Linked DNA regions of Oryzias latipes. The protein of the gene in region 2 interacts with the protein of the main gene of each other region in a pairwise test. Links are inferred from orthologs where the notes say so. Each region holds a gene or a part of one and is shown on either strand. Other genes may lie near its edges.

The links.
Region 1: the proteins of potassium voltage-gated channel subfamily A member 3-like (region 2) and caveolin-1 come close enough for resonance energy transfer, tested with the Homo sapiens proteins (2 studies listed by BioGRID). The link is inferred for Oryzias latipes from reciprocal best matches to the Homo sapiens genes KCNA3 and CAV1.

The regions. Positions count from the first base shown.
Region 1 is NC_019864.2:2,993,796-3,004,108, forward strand, and holds the start of caveolin-1, read left to right. Parts: upstream 1-5,364; 5' UTR 5,365-5,592; coding exon 5,593-5,628; intron 5,629-6,327; coding exon 6,328-6,495; intron 6,496-10,313. UniProt on the Homo sapiens protein: May act as a scaffolding protein within caveolar membranes. Forms a stable heterooligomeric complex with CAV2 that targets to lipid rafts and drives caveolae formation. Mediates the recruitment of CAVIN proteins (CAVIN1/2/3/4) to the caveolae.
Region 2 is NC_019865.2:13,593,258-13,603,353, reverse strand, and holds potassium voltage-gated channel subfamily A member 3-like, read left to right. Parts: upstream 1-4,434; 5' UTR 4,435-4,863; coding exon 4,864-6,459; 3' UTR 6,460-7,620; intron 7,621-8,973; 3' UTR 8,974-9,773; downstream 9,774-10,096.

The DNA of each region.
Region 1 (10,313 bases), on a different chromosome or scaffold from region 2:
TGAAGTGTCTGCTGAAGGAACGTCACCTGAGGCTAACCTGTTAGACCTGCAGGCCTGCGCAGCTGCATTGCTGCTGGGAGAAGTTGCATCCTGAACAGATGCATTTGTCATGTCTTCAACCTTAGCCTGTTTTTATCTTCATCGGTGATCACCTGCATGAGATTTTTTGTGGGTTTTTTTTTTTTTTTGGGGGGGGGGGGGGGTTCTTCTGCATCCTTGTAAAGCACAACAAGGAAAGGTGGAGTCCCTAAAAACTTTGCAAGCCCACTTCATAACTACCAATGACTTCAGTCTTTTGAGGTGAAAACAATAAACAACATTTCTGAAGCACAGTTGCTCAGTTTCCCCACTGTTTCCAGGTGGAAACTAGATGCAGTCTGCCAACAAAGCTGTGCAGGTAACAAAGCAATCTGCTCTTTTCAGGAAACTTTGAGGAAGTCTTTTGTCATCTGCAGTTCAAACACATGCAAGACAAATCAGAGATGTTGTACATTCATTATATTTTCTGGGACAACTGTTGCTATGGTTACCTTCAAAGAGTATCCAATTTATTTAGAAAGCATAACAAAGACCCTTTCAGGGCAGTACTGTACAGAAAAAACAAGAAACATCTAATGACGATGAACCACTGAGAGCTACAGCAATCCAACATGTTCTAATTCCTTGTGATCCAATTGAGGTCAGACAATAAGGCCAGTTTGACTGAACCCATCCATCCATTTTAGAACCTGGTGAGTCCCTTTTAGGATCATGGGGTCGCTGGAGCCTATCCCAGCCTATGTTGGGGTGAAGTACACCCTGAGCATGTTTCCAGTCTGTTGCAGGGCCACAGAATCCCTCATACTCACATCTTGGGGCAATTTAGAGTCATGAAGCGTGTTTTTGGACTGTGGAAAACATGCAAACCCCACACAGAAGAGGTGCCAGCTGGAATCTGAACCAGGGCTTTCTTGCTGTGAGGTAGGAGTGCTGACCACTATCCCGCCATGCAGACTCATTTGGACCTAACCATATTATAATAATGGTCTATATAAGTGATTCTTATCATAAGATTTTCTGTGAAATCCTCATGTGGAGCAAACGCGGGGGGAAAGGAAACCCCCACCTGATGGAACAACATCAAACCTCCTCCAGCAGCTTCAGCTCTTGTTGCTATAATTACAACAAACCACATTCTCTGTTTAAGTACTATTGTGTGAATTAAAAATATCTTCATAGTTTAGTCTAGTCGTATGCCTATAAATAAATGGTAGTTGTATCTGACACAGAGCGAACACTTAGCTCGCCTTTGACGTCTTTTAGAAAAATCAAAGGAGTTGAATTTGACACACTCTGTAGGTAAATGCTGCATGAGCATCGTGCAGGTCTCTGAAGGGTGTGTGCCGTCACCTACATTCAAACATTTCAGTGAAGACCTTTCAGGAGGACAAAGCCAAACCACATTCCCAGCTAAAGACCTCATGTTCCCTGTAAATTGCAGGGTGAGAGCCACTTTCAGCTTACTGCTGGTTTCAGTTCCTAACTGCTTTTACTAGAGGTTAACACACCATTTCTCTTTACCAATAAATTCTTGCATATTAATGCAATCAGCTGCTGTGCTCTGCTAACTTTTATAGAGTTCAATGGCTTTGTGGTACAGTGTCCATCCTGAGACTGGAAGGTCATGGGTTCAAATCCAGACCAAGTTATACCAAGGACTCTAAAAATTGGTCCCAATGCCTCTGTGTTTTGCACTTAGGCTCAAAGGGTTGGAATGGGTTACCAACAAATGTTTCCTGAATGTGGTTGTATCTGCAGCTCACCCCCCTCGAAAGGATGGGAGAACAAATTTTACATCCCTAGGTCCGTGACAGCCAATGGGAATTTAACTTTACTTACAGAAATTATCGTTTTTTACTATCATCCGGAAGGATTCTGAAAACATGTCAAAATAAAAAAGGCCCTTTAAAAGAGGAGCTCCGCCACGTTTTTCTGGATGTTTCTTGGATTGTCAAAGCTTTCACTAGGAGCACATGAGGTGAGATGGTTGAAGAACCCGTCCTGTCAGTTTCTGAATGACATTTTAATATCTCTGAAGATCCTGAGAGCCTGAACGTTCCCACAGATCAAATTTGTCACCATGCCACAACTCCCTTTCTGCAGTTGTACCCCCCCGAGGAATTTGTTTTTAAATTGTAGAATGTCTTGTGTTTATCGCAGAACTGCTGAGGTCTACATAAAGTATGATTAATCTTTCTATGAAACAGGTTTTATGATCTGTGTTCATAACTTCACCTATTAAAGTCCAGACATGAAGTAAACCGGTGTGTAATGTATATTTTACAATGATTTTCACTGTTTCTAGACAAAAATCAAAAATCCTGTGTTGTTTTCCAGGACATAGTTTCTATGGAAGCGATTCTGTAGCATAATTAAAAATAAAAGTCAAAACCAGAAATACTTTTTCATTTTCAAAATAAAGCTGCATTTTTTGACTCAAAATTAAAATGAAAACGCAATCCGCCAAAATGTTTTTTTCATTTTCTTCTTTAACACCGCTTATTCTGTCACTTACCTGTAATTAAAATGACGTGGTATTTGACATTTCATTTTCAAAAAGTTATCTGTTGTAGCAAAATTCATTTAGAATTGTCTAATTTGACAATTAAAATGGGTTTAATAGAAATGCTTTTTCATTTTCAAAATGTAACTGAAACAAAAGACTCAAAATTAAAATGAAAATTTAATACTTCAAAATACTTTTTCATTTTCTACTTAAAACCGCTTATTCTGTGTCATAATTAAAATGAAAATGCAAAGAGGGGATTGCATTTTCATTTTAACATCCACCCTGTGAATAGTGTCGCAATATTCATTTCGAATAAGCATTTCCAGTGGGGAGGCGGGGCGATGACGTCAGTGTGTTCTCTGTGTGTGCGGCTGCTAACAGACACATGCTAGGAGCAGTGGAGCTTTGTGTTAGCGGCAGAGGAGAGGGCTGTGTGATGGTTGTGAACTCCTGATGATTGTAGACAGCTTCTCAGGACTACGTAGCAGCATTTCCCTGCACCCCCCCCCTCGGACCAGCAGCTGCCTTCGCATAGCGGAGCGCGAAACCCCGCTATCCGATCTCCCGTTCACCGAAGGCAGAAGTGCTGATATGATCTGAGAAACCATCATATGAATATGTGTTTCCAGTGGTGTCCAGAAAAAAATAAAGGATGATGTAATTCCCACATATTTACATCCAATATGCTCATTGCCCGCAAGGAGTTTTAAGTACCTCCACGGCTAATGTTTAAAGCACATATTAGCCTAATGCTAACTCGTCTTTCGGGTCCTCCAGCGAAGAAAAAAGCACTGACCGAACGGATTTAAAAAAATTGAGTGAGCAGGCCCTTAATAATAATCATAACAATAAAAGCACATTTAGAAGATAGATGGTTGGACCAACACACACTCAGCGTGAAGCTGAGTGTGTGTTGGTCCAACCAGCAAACGTTTAGCATGGTGAAATCTGCTATAGCTGTTGATGGGACTCCAGCTGTCATTGAACAGCAAAATCAGCGTGAAGCTGCAGGAGACTATCTTCTAAATGAGCTCCACTGCTCCTAGCATGTGTCTGTTAGCAGCCGGACACACGGATTTAGCACTGATGTCATCGCCCCGTCTCCCCTCTGGAAATGCTCTTTCGAAATGAATAATGCGACAATGTTTGCAGGGTGGATGCTAAAATGAAAATGCAATCCCCTCTTTGCATTTTCGTTTTTATTCTGACACAGAATAAGTTGTGTTGAAGATGGAAAGAAAAAACATTTTGGTGGATTGCTTTTTTATTTTCATTTTGAGTCAAAAATGCAGCTTCATTTTGAAAATGAAAAAGCATTTCTGGTTCTGACTTTTATTTTTAATTATTCTACAGAATCACTTCCATAAGTTTCTACAGAGCGGCATAAGTTCATTAAAAATTCAACTCTGAGCTGTGGGCTGGACTGTTGGTGTGGCGCATTTCTGCCTAATTTCCCGTCATCCATCCATGACACCCCCGACCTAACATCATCGATGCAACAAAAATGGTGAGCAATACTGGAGCTATCCATTCATACAGTTTAGATCCAGACTCCAGCTCAGACCAGGAAAACAAAGACGTACGTCTACAGGCTCAAAGGGTTGGAATGGGTACAATTGGATGCATCAGAATGGAGCAGAGCATGTTTGTGGCCCGCCCAACGTATTTTCTATGTAACAAATATGCTCTTTTTTTAAACTGCAATTTTTATTCTGTGTCCCTTATTCACAGTTATTTGAATTAAGAAATACTCAGTGATGCAATTTCAATATTAGTTTTATTTGTCCTCCATCATCAGAAAAATGCCACAAAACAACACCAAAAAATACACTGTTTATTGGAGTTGGTCTCTAAGTTCCACTCCATAGTGAGACTGTAGCATTGTTACAGGTATCAGGGCAAATTAACCCTTGTGCTATCTTAGATGACCCCACCCTTACATTGACCTGTTCTCCCTACCATGACAAAGGTGGATAAAGGTGGAAAGATTTCATGTAATCCATGGACACCAGTGAAGATCACAAATCATTGAAGAAAAAAGGTTCAGAGCACTGTCTAGTGGGTCTAGATGACCCAAATCCCAATGGTAACGTACCTAGGATAGCACATTAAAGGAGTAGACCTGCTGCGGCTGTTACCCTCATGGGCACTGACAGTAGAGTTTAGGGGTGGAGCAAAGGAATCCCAGTCACACAGAACAACCCAGCAGTAAGGCCCCAAGCCAAATTCTGCCACAGGTATCAATAATTATGCAGATATCAGTCTGCTTACAGAAGATAACATATTTTTTTAGAAACAGAAAAGATCATCTTAAAGGTACACTACAGCTACTTGTAATGAAATAAGTGCTCCGCATTTCACCCTGACTAATTATTGTGCACAAGAAGCCTATCAAAAAAGGGTAACACGTAGAAGAAAAAGACCATTCCATAAAATCCATACATTGCTTCTGTTCCACTGATGAGTGAGCTGCTGCCAAGAAGAGGTGAGAGGAAACTATCAGGGATGCCGGGTGCTTTACTTGAAGCTGACAAGAAAAGGAAAAGCATTGACACCTGCTCTCAAATGTTATTACTAATTCTGCATTTTCCCCCTCTTGATCTGTTTGCTTGTTTGTTTTCTTTTCTCTTGGAACAATCGATCGGTTTGGGACTCAGGTATGGCAGGTTTTCCCACTTCGACATTCAGTAATCCCATCTCACCCTCCTCCCTCTGAACAAGTGCCGTCTTATTCTGCCTTCATTCCTGAACGAAGCAGGGTTTTTTCCGTGCGTGTCACAGCAGCCCTTTGGTGTGAGATCACGTCCTTCTCTGCAGCCCAAGCGGCTGTTGTGCCGAGCGCGCACACGCAGGTGGCTGTGCAGACGCAGCGGAGCTTTCCCCTGCGCGCTCAGACTTTCCGCAGTTTTGTCTCACTCGGCGCCAAGGCAGCTCAGGGTTGATTTCATCATCAGGCGCGCGGTAGTCCGCGCTCACGCCTCCCACTTCGCTTCCCAGAGTGATCTGTGTTTGGACGGAGGACCCCATTTGCTCCTGAGGACAGAATGACAGGGGAGCGCACTGACGGAGACGCTGACGAGGTACAGTATGGCTCTCCCCTTTTAAATTAAATTATTTCCCCTTTTTGATATTTGCTTGTTGTTGTTTTATTCTGTTAAACTAGTTATTCTAGTATTTTTAGTTTCCTGCTGTGGCAAGCGCTGCGCTTTAGGAAAAAGCCAATTAACGCAACCAAATCCTGAGCTTTACGCGTCAGATTGCTCTGCTTCATCCAGGAAGAGACTTTAAAAGCGTTTAAAAGTTGGATTTTCAACCTCATTTTTCCACAAATGATCAAAATCATAAAAGCTTTGAGAGGATTCACTTTTACAACATATACTTGCATGTATGAATATTCATATTTTACAAATGTCACCTCTGGTAAAAAAAAAAAAAAAAAAAAAAAAAGATTAGTAGATGATATTCTGCTTGGATGGTGAGATGAAACACTGTTGCTTTTTCACAGAAAATGTTTTGAAGCGTTGCCATGCGTCCACATCCATGTGGAGCCAACTGTATGATAGGTCAGGACAGGAGCACTGTGTGGGTGGTGAGGACCCCTTGCGGCTGAGTGCAGGGGTGTGGTGCTGCGTGTTCAGTGCGCTTAAACCCATCCCTGTTCTCGAGGCAGGCCGGTGACTTGCACTGCAGTCTCGCTCCCTCTCGGCGCGCTGCGCACCACTCCGCCTCCACCACCTCCTCCTCTTCCTCACTTGTTTGCCTCCCTCGGATCTCCACAGGAGTTTCTGCAGTCGCCCTTCATCCGAAAGCAGGGGAACATATACAAGCCAAACAACAAAGACATGGACAACGACAGCGTAAACGAGAAGACGATGGATGATGTCCACACCAAAGAGATAGATCTAGTCAACCGGGACCCTAAACAAATAAACGACGACGTTGTCAAGGTGAGTCAGACCTGCTAATTTCGAACTTTTCAAGTTACTTTTAAAGTTGCAGCTGCAGAATCTTTCAAGACTTTTTGTGACAACAAAAAATAACAGTTGAGAGACTCCTGTGTCACAGACATTTCGGCCACTTTTTGCTTTTAAAGTCCAAGAATGTGATCAAAAACTGTCCAAGTGTTAAAATCTGGTTTGGTGTTTTCTGCGCCTGTGCGTCATCGTGCGCTCCCGGGGCTCAGACGCTGCTGCGCGCTGCCTCTCCAGAGCGGCCTCTTACTTTCTTTCCCCCTATTAGGAAGGAACTTTGCAGATGGAGTTGTGCTTTGCGCAGGCTGCACAGCCCATCTGCACGCACGGATTAAAAACGTGACCATCGGAACAAAGGAAACAGTACGAATTTCCTGTTTTTGGGACTCACGTTTCCCACAGTGGTTGCCTTGAAACCCTGAATTCTTTCCATAAGGGACATGCGCACAGAGGTTATGAGAGGGAGAGCTGGAAGCCACCTGAGGCGCTATGATACTGGAGGGGAGCGTCAGCTGTCTGTCACTCTCCACTCCAGCTGAGGCGGGCTTTCACATCAGAGCGGGGTCAAACAGCCCCCTGCATGAGAAGGATGGGTCAGGCCTCTGAAATGCCTGAACTGCGCTGTTAAAACAGGGAAACACCCAAGTAGCTGCTTAGTCAGAGGGGGATCCCTCACCACTCCCAGTGTTCTGATCTCCCCCCTTTCACCTGTCAGCATTCCAGCCAGAGGATTTAAATCTGAAGACATGTATGAATCGCTAAACCAACCGCCAAACTCATAAACAGTTCTTCCTCTCATGTTATTTCTGGAATTCCTCCACAAAATGATTCGATTTTATCAGATTCAGCTGATATTTCACTCCACGGGAACATTATCTGCAGTGTAACGTACAAATGTTGCCCCTTGGAAACACCCAGTCACTAGCATGAGACAAAGTGGGCACTAAATGCAGAAGTGAGTGAATTCAATAATGACCAACACATCCTTTCTTATTACACTGCACAGACTTGGCAAAGCGCTTAAGATTTCCTGTTTCTGTCTCTTCTTCACCGCTCTGCATCCTCCTGCTCTCAGTTGTGACGGTGAGTCAGACTCTCCCTGCGGTCAGGGCAGATTGAGGCTTTATGATCAAGTCAACTGACCGCCCTCAAAGTTAGTTTTCATCACATGGTCATGGACTGTAAACAAGAAACTTGTGTAATGAATTCCAGTTTCCATGATAACTTCTGAAAAGGTTTAAGCTATTCTTAAATCTGTGCTACGTTTAAGACCCACTCCATTGAAAATGGTGTTTTTGTTGTTTTTAACATGTTCTTGTGGTAATTTTCTGATGATGGAGGACTTATATAAAGAAAATGAAACTCAAAAACGCCATTTCTGAGTGTGTCTTTACTGAAATTGTTGTGATTCAGGAGCATAGAAAAAACTCTGAAAAAGATCGCATTGGTTGCATAGAAAATATGCTGGGTGTGCCACAAGCTCCCCGCTTTGCTCCATTCTGATGCATCCACTTGTAAACAGATCCATTAATGGTTTGTTTTTTCTGGTTTGAGCTGATATTTGGCTCAAAACTGCACGGCTGGATAGATGGCACAGATCAGAGTGGGTCTATAAGTAGAGCAGTCGTGTCTTTTCCGTTGATGGAAGCAGCTGGTTGGTATGAAAGAGCTAAATCCAGTCCGAACAGGGAATCCCTTCTGCGGTCATCCACTGTGTAATCAGCCACGCCGTCACACAGCTCCACACACATATGACAAGCAGCACACATCCTGAGTGCATGGATGCTTTGACTCATACATGTGAGAAAACCCACGGCTCTCTTGCAGCTGCAACCACAGCTGGCCTTAATCATCTGGCCACATGAAACAATGGATATTCCCTCTCAGAGCCTTTTTTATTCTTTCCCTTCCTTATGTTGTGGGCCTTTTTTATGTGCAGAGAGTGGAGGTCAAATGCCTGCACAGGACGTTTTTGAAGCTGCGTGGAGAAGCTTGAGTTCCAGCAGCAGACTCAGGTGTACCGAGGACAAACTAAAGAGGATGAACATCGTTTATTCATAGTGTTTGGTATAAACTTCACTTTTTAGCTTCAAACTTCCCTTTCCTTGGAGAATCATTCACATGGATGCCATTTAGTTTAACCCTTGTGCTATCCTAGGCACGTTAATATTGGGAGTTGGGTCATCATCTGGGGCGGCCGTGGTGCACAGTAGGGCGGTCGACCCATGAACATAAGATTGCAGGTTCGATTCCCGCCTTGCACGCCCATGTGTCGAAGTGTCCTTGGGCAAGACACTGAACCCCACCTTGCCTCTGGTGGGAGGTTGGTGCCAGTGTTTGGCAGCGGAGCCGCCATCAGTGGGTGAATGTGTGTGAATGTGTGTGTGCATGGGTGAATGGGACTGTGACTGTAAAGCGCTTTGGGCCTTCGTAAGAAGGTAGAAAGCGCTATATAAGTATACGCCATTTACCATTTACCATCTAGACCCACTAGACAGTGCTCTGAACCTTTTTTCTTCAATGATTTGTGATCTTCACTGGTGTCCATGGATTACATGAAATCTTTCCACCTTTATCCACCTTTGTCATGGTAGGGAGAACACGTCAATGTAAGGGGGGGGGTCATCTAAGATAGCACAAGGGATAAGAAAGGGGAGTGGACACATGAAAAAAAATCCAATTTTGCATATTGACCAATGTTTTCAATGCCGGTCATGTTAATTCGTATCTGTAACCAAACCGCAGACTCTCTTCCCCCGAAACTCCAGCAGAAGTCTGTTGATGCACCGCACTCTTCTGTCTTGTCAAGCATGTCTGACAGCCTGAAGATAAAACTCTGGAAATAGCACTTGGCCCTATTTACTCAATATTACGGTTGCTTTGCCAACTGGTCACATGTCGACCCCAAGACTGCATTGTTTCATATCAGGCCTCCCAATAGTCACCAGAGGTTCATACTGAGAATCAGCTGCTGATGGGATAAATGTGCTGCTGAGTGCAATCCAGAATGGATCCGAGGTCTGCAGGAAAAGCTTCAGGGACTTTTAGAAGTCTGTTTCAGTCAAATGATCCAACATTTTGGGCAAAGTGGGAGCTAGATTGAAAAAGATTGTTTTTTTGAAGTCATTATTAACAGAGTTGTAAAAAGCTTCATCTGCAGAACTGCATACAAACCCATTATGGTGTTTACTGCACGGGAAGTTGGTGTCCTCGGGTAACCTAGAGGATTTCCTCATTATGCTGCTCGGCATCACCAACCAACAGCGGCCCCTCATGGAGCTGTGTCGCTCTGCCTCTCCGGTGGGGCTGCTCTGAGGTGGAAAAAGGCTTTGGTTTCTGACAAAGACTGGAACCTGGAGCCACTTTTGGGTGGATCTGTGGAAAAACTGAAAGGGTGTCAGACTAGTTTGCACACTGAGTTTTGCCAGCTGTTGATCCAAGCAGCCACTTTAGCGCTGCTGTTTACTCTGACAGGAGCCTGGAGATCTCACACAGCTTTTCATAGAAATCAGCTTAGTGGCCCTGTGGGAGAGTGTCTGCCTGAGTCTGGGACGGTTTGAGTCCACAGTTCAGACACACGATAGTCTAAAAAAATCATACGCTGGATGAATTGTGGAGTCAAAGTAGTAAAGTGATTCCTACTGCTGTGGCTTTATTTCCCGGAGGAGGAAGTCAAATGCAAAGCAGATGTTTCACCTCATTGACAACAGGGTGACTTTACTTTACAGACTGTCTGTAATTGTAAAGGTTGTATAAAAAAGGCGTTTCTTTTTTAACGTTTGCACATAAACATG
Region 2 (10,096 bases):
AGGCCTTTGGCTGTCCCCAGGCTTTTCCCCTGTGGACTGACTGGCCTTTTTATTACAAGACAGCTTCAGTGTGGCCTCAATAAGAAAACAGTCTGTCTAGAATGAGTCCGAATGCACTCATCAATTTTTTTTAAATGAAATAAAAAATAAAAAACTTTTTCCCACTTTCTTGATCACAATCTTCATATTGAGAATATTTAGATTGTCCTAATTACAAAACAAACCATTGGCATAATAATTAGACTGTCTATATTAAGAATTCATAGCTGAAACGCCTCCAAATATTTATGTTGATGCTTGTAAAGGACACCACTGCTTCAGTATTCAGTCTTAAAATAGACTCATTTCCATGCAAGAGCAGGTTTATGTGTCTCTGAAGGTAAAACGTGATGTGTGTTCAGAAGAGAAGAATATATATGGGTTTGATCAATCTTGGAAGTGTTTCGAAGCAAAAGCAAAAAGTATATATCCATATGAGATAAAGCAATTAACTATTGATCAGGTCAAAAAGTATAACTGTTTTCAATCACTTGTTTTAGGATAATTTTTTTAAAATCATAAATGTTAAAATTGAAAAGGTGTTAACATACCTAGCATTTGGACTTGTTCGTCGGTGGTATGACAAAATGCTGCTTTAGAAATATTCAGTGCTTTGGAAATGACCTGTTCTTGCAAAGGCAGCTGCCACACTCGCTTTTATTGAGTGCAAAGACAGATAAAGTGAAGGATTCCTGAGACTCAAAGAAAAACCTTTAAAGACGAACTACTTGTTGGATCGCTAGAAACATAAAAATGTGATCGTTTTTAGCTCTGCAAAATTACTCGAATGGAACTTCCAACAGATGTGAATGGATCAGAAGCCAAAAAAATGAAAGGAGTTTAGAGAGGAGAAGATTAATTTGAATAGTCCTGGAAATAAACATAAAAAAAACAAAAGGTGAACAACACGTGTTTACAACATGTATTCAAATGTTGTAAACAACCTCCATCCATGCAGCCATTTCCAGAAATCCCTTTTGGGGCCATGGAGCTGCAAGAGTCAACCCAGCTATTATTGAGCAAAGGTGGGGCACACCCGGAACAGGTCCCCAGTTCATTTCAAGGCCACACCTGCATGCTCACTTAGAGGCAATTTAGAGCAATCAACCTGTGAAGCCTGTTTTTGGATTGTGGGAGAAAGTGGGAGTGACCAGAGAAACCTGAAAACAACCTTTAAATCATAACTGATTTTTCAAACCAGACCTAGAGATATTCAAACAGATGAAAGCATGTGCCAAGTCTTGTTTGACTGGAAAAAAGAAAGTAAAATTTACATGTGTTGCCATGAATCTCAGCGCTAAAACAGTCCCTGGAGCTGATATGAACGTTGGATTAAAAACCAGATGAAAGATCTCAGAACACTGATGCATGCAATGAATCCCAAAACTCTTACAAAAATAGGAGGCCAGATGCCCAACGCGCTAAGAAATCTGAAACGTATAAGACATATAATCATCCATTCATTTTACCAGTACAACATTAATGGGGACACTTTTTCGAGGCAGTTTATATTTAAATCAAAGTCCTGCTCGAAAAACAAACTGCTATTTTCAATTTTTGTATTAATTTTAATTTTGGCTGTAAATGTCTTCACAACAGTAGAAATGTTGTGCAATATTTCAAATTATTTTCAAAGTCTTGTCAAAACGTGACATTCAGCTGATCTTTTTTTTCCTGGAAAGAAAACAATGGTCACATCCAGAGCTCAACAATTGAAACAAGATCTTATTACAACACTGTCCTCTAAGGCTGGAGTACATGAACCAAAGCTTGACGTTTACTTTGCTTGGCTGCATTGTAAAAACTGAAAGTTACCTATTTTAAATAATTTACACCTATTCCACAGGATGCTGGCAACTCTTTTGCTTTCACGGCTGTTATATCTAGCTAGAAACAGATTGCAATTCAGTGCAAAATAAAGTCTTCATGAATGCTTGGTTGAAATTATTTTCCTTATCCTGTGTATGAGGCAGTGGAAGGGGGAGAAGGAGTCCTTGTTTTCAATAGGCGATGGAGAAATAAAATACCAATATGAACAAAGTCATAGAATACCATGTTAAAAAAAGGAAGGTGCATTGTTAATGATGTTTATGATTGATCTTGGTAACATAATTTACAATACATCCACAAATGTTCCAAAGATTTTTGATTTAGCATTTCTGAATGTTTTCTTTCACTCTCTCTCATGCCACTTAACTATTCGGGGGCAAAGCAGGGTTGTGTGAACAGGGACATGCTAACTTGTACACTAACAAAACCAAGAACTGAACCTCCAACCTCGTGCTCAAGCTGAAAAATCATTTAGCAAAAGCATGACCAAAAAGAAAACAAATGGCTGCAATTATTCCATATAGAGAGAGAAAACCTGAATTTCATCTATGAAGGCAACTCAGGAAATTTGCCTGGTGCATCATGGGATGCCTAAGAGAAGTTTAAACTTGTAGTGCTGAAACTAAAGGTCAGTTGAGAAAAAGCCTAGCCTGTCTGAATAAAATAAAAATATAAAAAAGATAGATTTATTAGAAACCAAATACAAACTCAGCTTCAGATATTTTGGATTCAGAGAAACTGATATGGATATGCATTTCATGTAGCGTGTCAAATGTCTCACTGAGGCTCAGGCGTGGCAGCATATGTTTATGAGCGAACATTGGCTGGTGCTGACTGCCTGCCTTCACAGCTCCACCTGTGTGCCAGTACAAAGGGCGTGACCACAGGCTCAGGCACGCGCTCTCCCTGTGGGAAGTGGTTGAAAGTAGAAAGCTGCAGGAGTCAAGCCAACATTTTCTTTTACAGAATTTGCTGCAATATTTTCCTGGATTTTAAAGAAATCTGTTTAATGTCACTTTGAGATGAACTTTAAAGTATATCCTCTTTGCAAACAAAATATAATGTTTGTCTTTATTTTCAGACCATATGTGGTGGCAGGCTGAAATGTCAGGCTGTATGTTGCCACAGACCGCCCATTTAACAAGCCCAAGGAGCACTCACCCAATGCTCATTTAATTTAATCTTGAGGAAGCAAATGTCCACATACAGTAAATAGTGTAATTCCTCACAATAATCTCTCTTTCGTCATTTCCTCCGGTCTGTGCTTTGTTCCTTCCACTTGTTGATGGAGTGTGTGACTGTCTGTATGCAGATAAAAATACTGTATTTGCAAGGTAAGCTTCTTCTACTAATAGGGACAGACAAAATGTGCTCATTTAAAGTCTTTAATGTACTTCTAATTTTATGTTGCAACAGCAGATTTGGTTCTTTTATTATAACCTAAATACTTTTATTCTTTTACCTCAGTTTAGACCAAGATAATGTCCAGGAATTCAACTTTTAGGCTTCAAAACAAATTATTATATCATGTCTTATCTTGTCTTTTTTGAGTCCTTATTGTTTCAGAAAACAACCTTTAAACAAACTTTATTTGCTTTACTCCAATTTCAAAAACTGCTTGTCCAGATTTATCTTTTTGTTCTTTGTTGTCAAGATTTAGATTATTTTGTTGTTGTTGGCAGTTTTCAGTTCTTATGAGCAAATAAGCAGACAAAAAATAAATGTATTTTTTCATTTGTCACTTTCTGCATCAATATTCCTTTGTGCTGTTGCCCAAAAAGCATCGCATACTGGATGTGCACTTTGTAAAGCTAACAAAACAAAACCAAATGTCGGTGAAATATTAAATAGAATATTGTATGTCTGCATTAAACATGGGTTTATATTTATACTTATTTATTTTTAAATGTTGTTTGTGCTCTTCTTTTTATTAAAACTATGAGCAACATAATTCAAGTCTGCAAGAATTACTTTCTCTTTCCACATTAAACTACACGATTAGCCTTTCCATGAAAGTAAGGGGTTTTGTCAGTCACTACATGTCCTAATTTTGCTTCAAATTAGTTTTTTAGGTAAAACAAAAATACAGAAATATCATAATCCATATCACACTGCACATGATCAAGCTAAGAGAAAACTAAAGGAAAATGCAATGAAATTAAAGGAAATTGCTGTGATCAGAAACCAGGAGACAGTTGATGCTCCGTTGAAGCACTGCTGACATATATCTTTTCTGCCTTAAAATGTGTAATAAGGTTTTGGGTTGTGTAGTATCGCGCGTCTGCCTGCAGATAGGTAATTTCTCTCGTGTCTTTTACGATGATGAATGACTTCATTTCGTTGTGATGAGTGCGTTCCTTTGTCTCCCCACGACCTGCCTGATCTCTGAGCTTATTAACTGTCTGTTGCTTTGGGTTTCAGCTCAGATGCTTCCTTTTTGTATTAAAGAAATGATGAAGCGGCATCATGCGCGTCGTGATGAATGGTGAATCGTGCGTATTTACGCGCGCGCCGGCGTGTATATGTGTGCAGGTCTAGACTTATTAGTGAAATACGCTCTCAGCGTGGAATGACCTTGTTGAAAAAGGAGACTTTTTTGACTGTGCCTGCAGCGCGTGACTGCGTGCGTGCGTTTGTTTACACGCTTCCTGTGTGTGCGTGTCTTTTCTGCGTGTGTCACCTAAACGTGGGGAGCGACAGAGGGGGGCGGGCACGCCCAAAAGATGGTGTTGAATCACGCCCGTCTGTTGCTTTTTCTGTGTATCGGTGCGCCCCACGATTGGCGGACAACAGTGGAGGTAGCCAGCACTGGTGCGCCGTGGGCGTGTGGAACGTCTGTTTATAAACCTAGATCTTTTATCAGTGGGCGGGAACAGCAACAGCATTGAGGGAAAGTGGGGCGCTTGAAAAAGAGAAACGTAAAAAGGAGACGAGGCTGTGGCGGCGGCTGAGGTTGACAGGGGCTCGCGGAGGGGGCGCGGCGGCAGCCCCTGTATGCGTCTTCCACCGCGCATGGACGACCACCTCAGCCTCCTGCAATCACCCCCGCCGAGCGTCACCAAAACCAGGGGAGACAACTTGGTGAACCACGGATACACCGAGACAGAGACCGACGTGATGACGGTCGTGGCATGTGACAACATGCTGGAAGAGTCGGCGGCTCTCCCGGGCCACCACTCTCTGGACAGATACGAACCGGATCACGAATGCTGCGAGAGGGTGGTCATCAACATCTCAGGGTTACGTTTCGAGACGCAGCTCAAGACTCTGTCACAGTTCCCAGAGACGCTGCTGGGTGACCCAAAGAAAAGGATGAGGTACTTTGACCCTCTCAGGAACGAATACTTCTTCGACAGGAACCGACCCAGCTTTGATGCCATTCTGTATTACTACCAATCCGGCGGGCGGATCCGGAGACCAGTTAATGTGCCCATTGACATTTTTTCTGAGGAGATACGCTTCTATGAGTTGGGTGAGGAGGCGATGGAGAAGTTCAGGGAGGATGAGGGCTTCATAAAAGAGGAGGAGCGGCCACTACCAGAGAATGAATTTCAGCGGCAGGTGTGGCTGCTGTTTGAATACCCGGAGAGCTCGGGTCCTGCCCGGGGGGTCGCAATAGTGTCTGTTTTGGTCATTCTCATCTCCATTGTCATCTTCTGCTTAGAGACACTGCCGGAGTTCAGGGACGAGAACAATGATGTGATCACTCTAGCGCCGGTGATAAATGGCACAGTACCATATTTCATCAGCCCCTTCTCTGATCCCTTCTTTGTCGTGGAGACGCTGTGCATCATCTGGTTTTCCTTTGAGCTCCTGGTGCGCTTTTTTGCTTGTCCGAGCAAAGCCACGTTTTCCAAAAACATTATGAACATCATTGACATTGTGGCCATCGTCCCGTATTTCATCACCCTGGGCACAGAGTTAGCAGAGAGGCAAGGGAACGGACAACAGGCCATGTCTTTGGCAATTCTGCGCGTAATTAGGCTTGTTCGGGTGTTTCGCATCTTCAAACTTTCGCGTCACTCCAAGGGGCTTCAAATTCTGGGGCAGACCCTGAAGGCCAGCATGCGCGAACTGGGCCTGCTCATCTTTTTCTTGTTCATAGGGGTCATTCTCTTTTCCAGCGCTGTTTACTTTGCCGAGGCGGACGACCCGTCCTCGGGTTTTAGCAGCATCCCGGACGCGTTCTGGTGGGCTGTTGTTACGATGACCACCGTGGGATATGGGGATATGCACCCCGTGACAATCGGTGGAAAGATTGTGGGATCTTTGTGCGCAATCGCGGGCGTGCTGACCATTGCCCTCCCAGTCCCTGTCATCGTCTCCAATTTTAACTACTTCTACCACAGAGAAACAGAGGGCGAGGAGCAAGCGCAATACCTGCACGTGGGCAGCTGTCAACCTCTGGCAGACACAGAGGAGCTGAGGAAGACGCGCTCCTCCTCCTCCCTCAGCAAGAGCGAGTACATGGTGATAGAGGAGCACGGGATAAACAGCGCGTTTAAGCAGCAGCCGAATTTTCCCACTACAACTCAAAACAACTCACAGAATTGCGTAAACATAAGCAAAAAGATTTTCACCGACGTGTAGCGTTTCAGTTCTGACCAACAGGTGAGGCATCAACATACAGCTGGCTCTGGCGGTGCACACCAGCGTGTGGAAGCACAGATGGAAGATACGAGGAATGGAATAGTATTGCTGCTTAGTTTGTGCTCTGTTTAAAGAATCCGGATAGTTCACTTTAGTGATATAAATTCATCCCTTAAGGTTCCGTTTGCGCTTGCGTAAAGACAGAGATAGAATGAGTTCTTCTCTGAGGGGCTGATCCTGTTGTGCGTTTCCAGTAGCAAGTGTATAATCACAACAGGTAGAAATAGAAGCTTTTTTACTGTGAAGGGTGCGTAAAACTGCGTGTTCCTTGAAGGACACTTACACTGTTTCATGCGTTATGCGTCGTGATCAGTCATGCTTAGACAATGTATAATAACCAGTCATTTAAATATGTGTCTGTGTTCAAACACACGTATGTCTGAAAAAAAAAACGGTTCGAAGATATAAAATGTCAACCAGACCGTTCCGTGTTATGCCTTCATTATGCGTCCTTGAAAAATAACTCCAAATATTTCCTCTGCGTAGGTTATATTGTTAGGCTAACCAGTGCGTAAACGGCGCTTTGTAAACACCGGATCCAGCCAATTGTCAGCATCTCCTTATCTGTGCAAGAAACACGTGAGCGCAGAAGCACAAAGCTGCCTCCGTACGCACACAAACAATGATCAAAGATGGAGAGTGATTCTCTTTGGATGCCTCAAATATAGCTCTCTGTGATGCAGTCACTATGGTGACGGTCGTTTCCTGGGTAACCCCAGTCACCGTTGCCATGGCACCCTTGTTTCCACAGTAACCTCCCAGATGGCTTGGAATTTATACAGACGATTCTCATGTGAATGGCGTGACTTCACTCTCTAATGAGGCAGTTTTATCACCAAGCTGCTCTGCGTAAAGCACCAATCCAGATGTACGGAGCAACCAGCCTCTTTGACACCAACACAAAACGAAATTCTACAGAGGAGATTTGTTTACACCCCCCCCCCCCCCCCAATCACCCCCTCTAAACAAATCTATTTCAAGCTGGGGAGCTGCTGTGCCTGAAAACATGAAAGGAGGAGCGGCGCGTGAAAATATGAATGAAGTGGGAGCACTACCGCAAACGCACAGCAAAGGGTGCTGTTCCCTTACTGAAAAAAATAGGTAAGACGCACATTTATGCTGAGCACAAGTGCACTGTTCTCTGAAACAATAAGACCTCATATGGAATTTCAAAATAGGGTTATGTGTCATCAGAAAGGCTGCTACACAAAGAGCCCTCACACTGTCATGGCAAAAAATATAAATACTTTCTTTTTCAAAGTAAAAAAAAAAGTAGTATTTGAGTCCCCACTTGCATGTTTACATGTGAAAAATTATTTTATGATAAAACTCCTGCTCTCTGGTAAATGACGACATGCTCTTGCTGCACATTCAGGTCGCATTTAACCTTCAGCTGACTTTGTCGATGGACTAAAATAGGAGCAGCAAAGGCATGCCACGTTAGCTCGTCTCAACACTGCCTCCTAGTGTCTATTTTCTTGTTACAGGCGTCTCACACATTGATGTCCTCCGTTTTCCTCAGCCACACACAGTGATTCAATCACCTTGAGACAGCACATATGAGTGTGGAATGAAAACACTGATAAAGCTTTGTTCATGTTTTATGTGTAAATATTTGCATAAGCTAAAAGCACATTAATATTTAAAAAATGTTAAAACAGTAAATGCCAGTTATGGCATTTGGTGGGGCCGGCTCTGGCAGACCCGTGACCCCGAAAGGGACAAACGGAAGAAGATGAAAACAGTAAATGGCCTTCCTGATTTATAGTCTTTGACAGTGCTCTACTCTATTTATGTGGATGATTCTTCTTTTCTAATAGTTACGGACTTAACAGACAGGACAGCACAATTTTCTTCCTTTTTCTGCAGAATCCATTTCTGCTTTGAATTGGAATGTGTTTTCCTAAAAGTGCCTCTGAGTGTCTGTCAGCTCCAAAATAATGACAAAGTTGGCAGTCAGTGTTGATTGATGTTGGACAATTTCACTGGAATATTGTGATTTGAAGAGCCCACAGGATGACTTCCCAATTATTCAGTTCCATCCCAGCTGATCCCAGACATCAGCCTCTTGTTTTGAAGCTAAAGCCTTTTTTTGTTTGTTTTTGGGCAGATAAACTTTCTTTTTGATTTTTTGTATCACTCCAGATGAATTGTTTATGGTAATAAAAATTATATCTATTTAGTTCAACAGTAAACATTGTTGCTCAAGGCTGCAGGAAGTGAATACAATAATCCATTTTATTTGGAAAAATAATAGAAAAGAAAGAAACAAATCAAGTTCAATAAATTCAGAGGTGTCTGTGTGGGGGGGCTTTTTTCTTTTTTTTGGGGTCAAAAATGTGTCCTTTTCCACAACGATCTGAAAACTGTATTTATGGTCTCTCATATCCTATTTATTGAAGTTGTGTTTCTTCTCATAGGGTGACAACTGTAGAAACCACTAACCTGCAGTAGCTTTTCTTTCCCTACAGGTGTGCAGTGATTCTGGTCTTCCGGATGGGATAGATGGGTCACATTTGGGATCTGAGACAGAAATCCTTCTGGATCGGTTCTTCTTTCCCTGTACTCAACTGATGCCTAAATCAAGACTTAAAAAGTGGTGCCTATATCTCCTTCTCTAGCGGGACTACCAATCAATCCAAAAATGCAAGAAAATGAGGTCACAATAGGCTTCTGACATTTTTTCCACACACCTTTGTAGCCGCAGCTTCTATTGTTAAGCTGACACAATCTGAATGGGGGAGTCACGGGATCAAAAGTGACTTAAAAACTCGTGCTTAAGCTGTTACTGGCTTTCTAGGAAACAGCAAGTGCTTTCTCACATCACAGGGACTTTGACAATGATTTCTAGAATCTGTCTTCATCATATTGTCTTCATCGTCATCAAAAAGTCAGCAAGAGGAAAAACCTATGTGCTCTGTGATTAACTGATATGAAACTGTGATTCAAAACAAAGACTGTTAGCCACATGCCTTTGTTAGTTCTTTGTGCTCCGTGTTGTTGATATGTAAAACGCACACATAGCCACGTGTGCTAGTTGCTGCTATTCCCTTGACTTATACTTTAAGAACAATACAAAGGCACGTGCAAACAGGCATATTTATACACACACATTTGTGAATTTCTCTCTTCTGTTCCAGACTGCACTCTTGATTTTTGGAACGGGGCAGATTGTTGTCAGGGTAAGGCTGTGTATGCCAGTATTTGTTCCGTGTTATTACATGCCATCTTAAACATGACCCATGTGAAGAGATTGTGATGCGTCTTCATTTGACAGTAGCTGCAGTCTATTACTCAATTACTGAAAGAACAATATACTCATTTAGTGTCAGCCTAACTAGCTTCTCTCAGTTTTCAACAGTGAGTAGTATCTACACTTCTTCAAATATGACTAAATAGAGTTTTTTTATTAATAATTATAAAGTTTTTCTAAATTTCAACTCCAATCATCTTTTGATGTATTGTTAAAGCGTTCCCATTGGCCTGTTTATGCCGTTTTTGGGCAAAATGAAAAAGCCTGTGTTGTCTTCTCTGACTAGTTTCTGCAGAGCGGTAGCAGTTCATTCTGAATTCACCT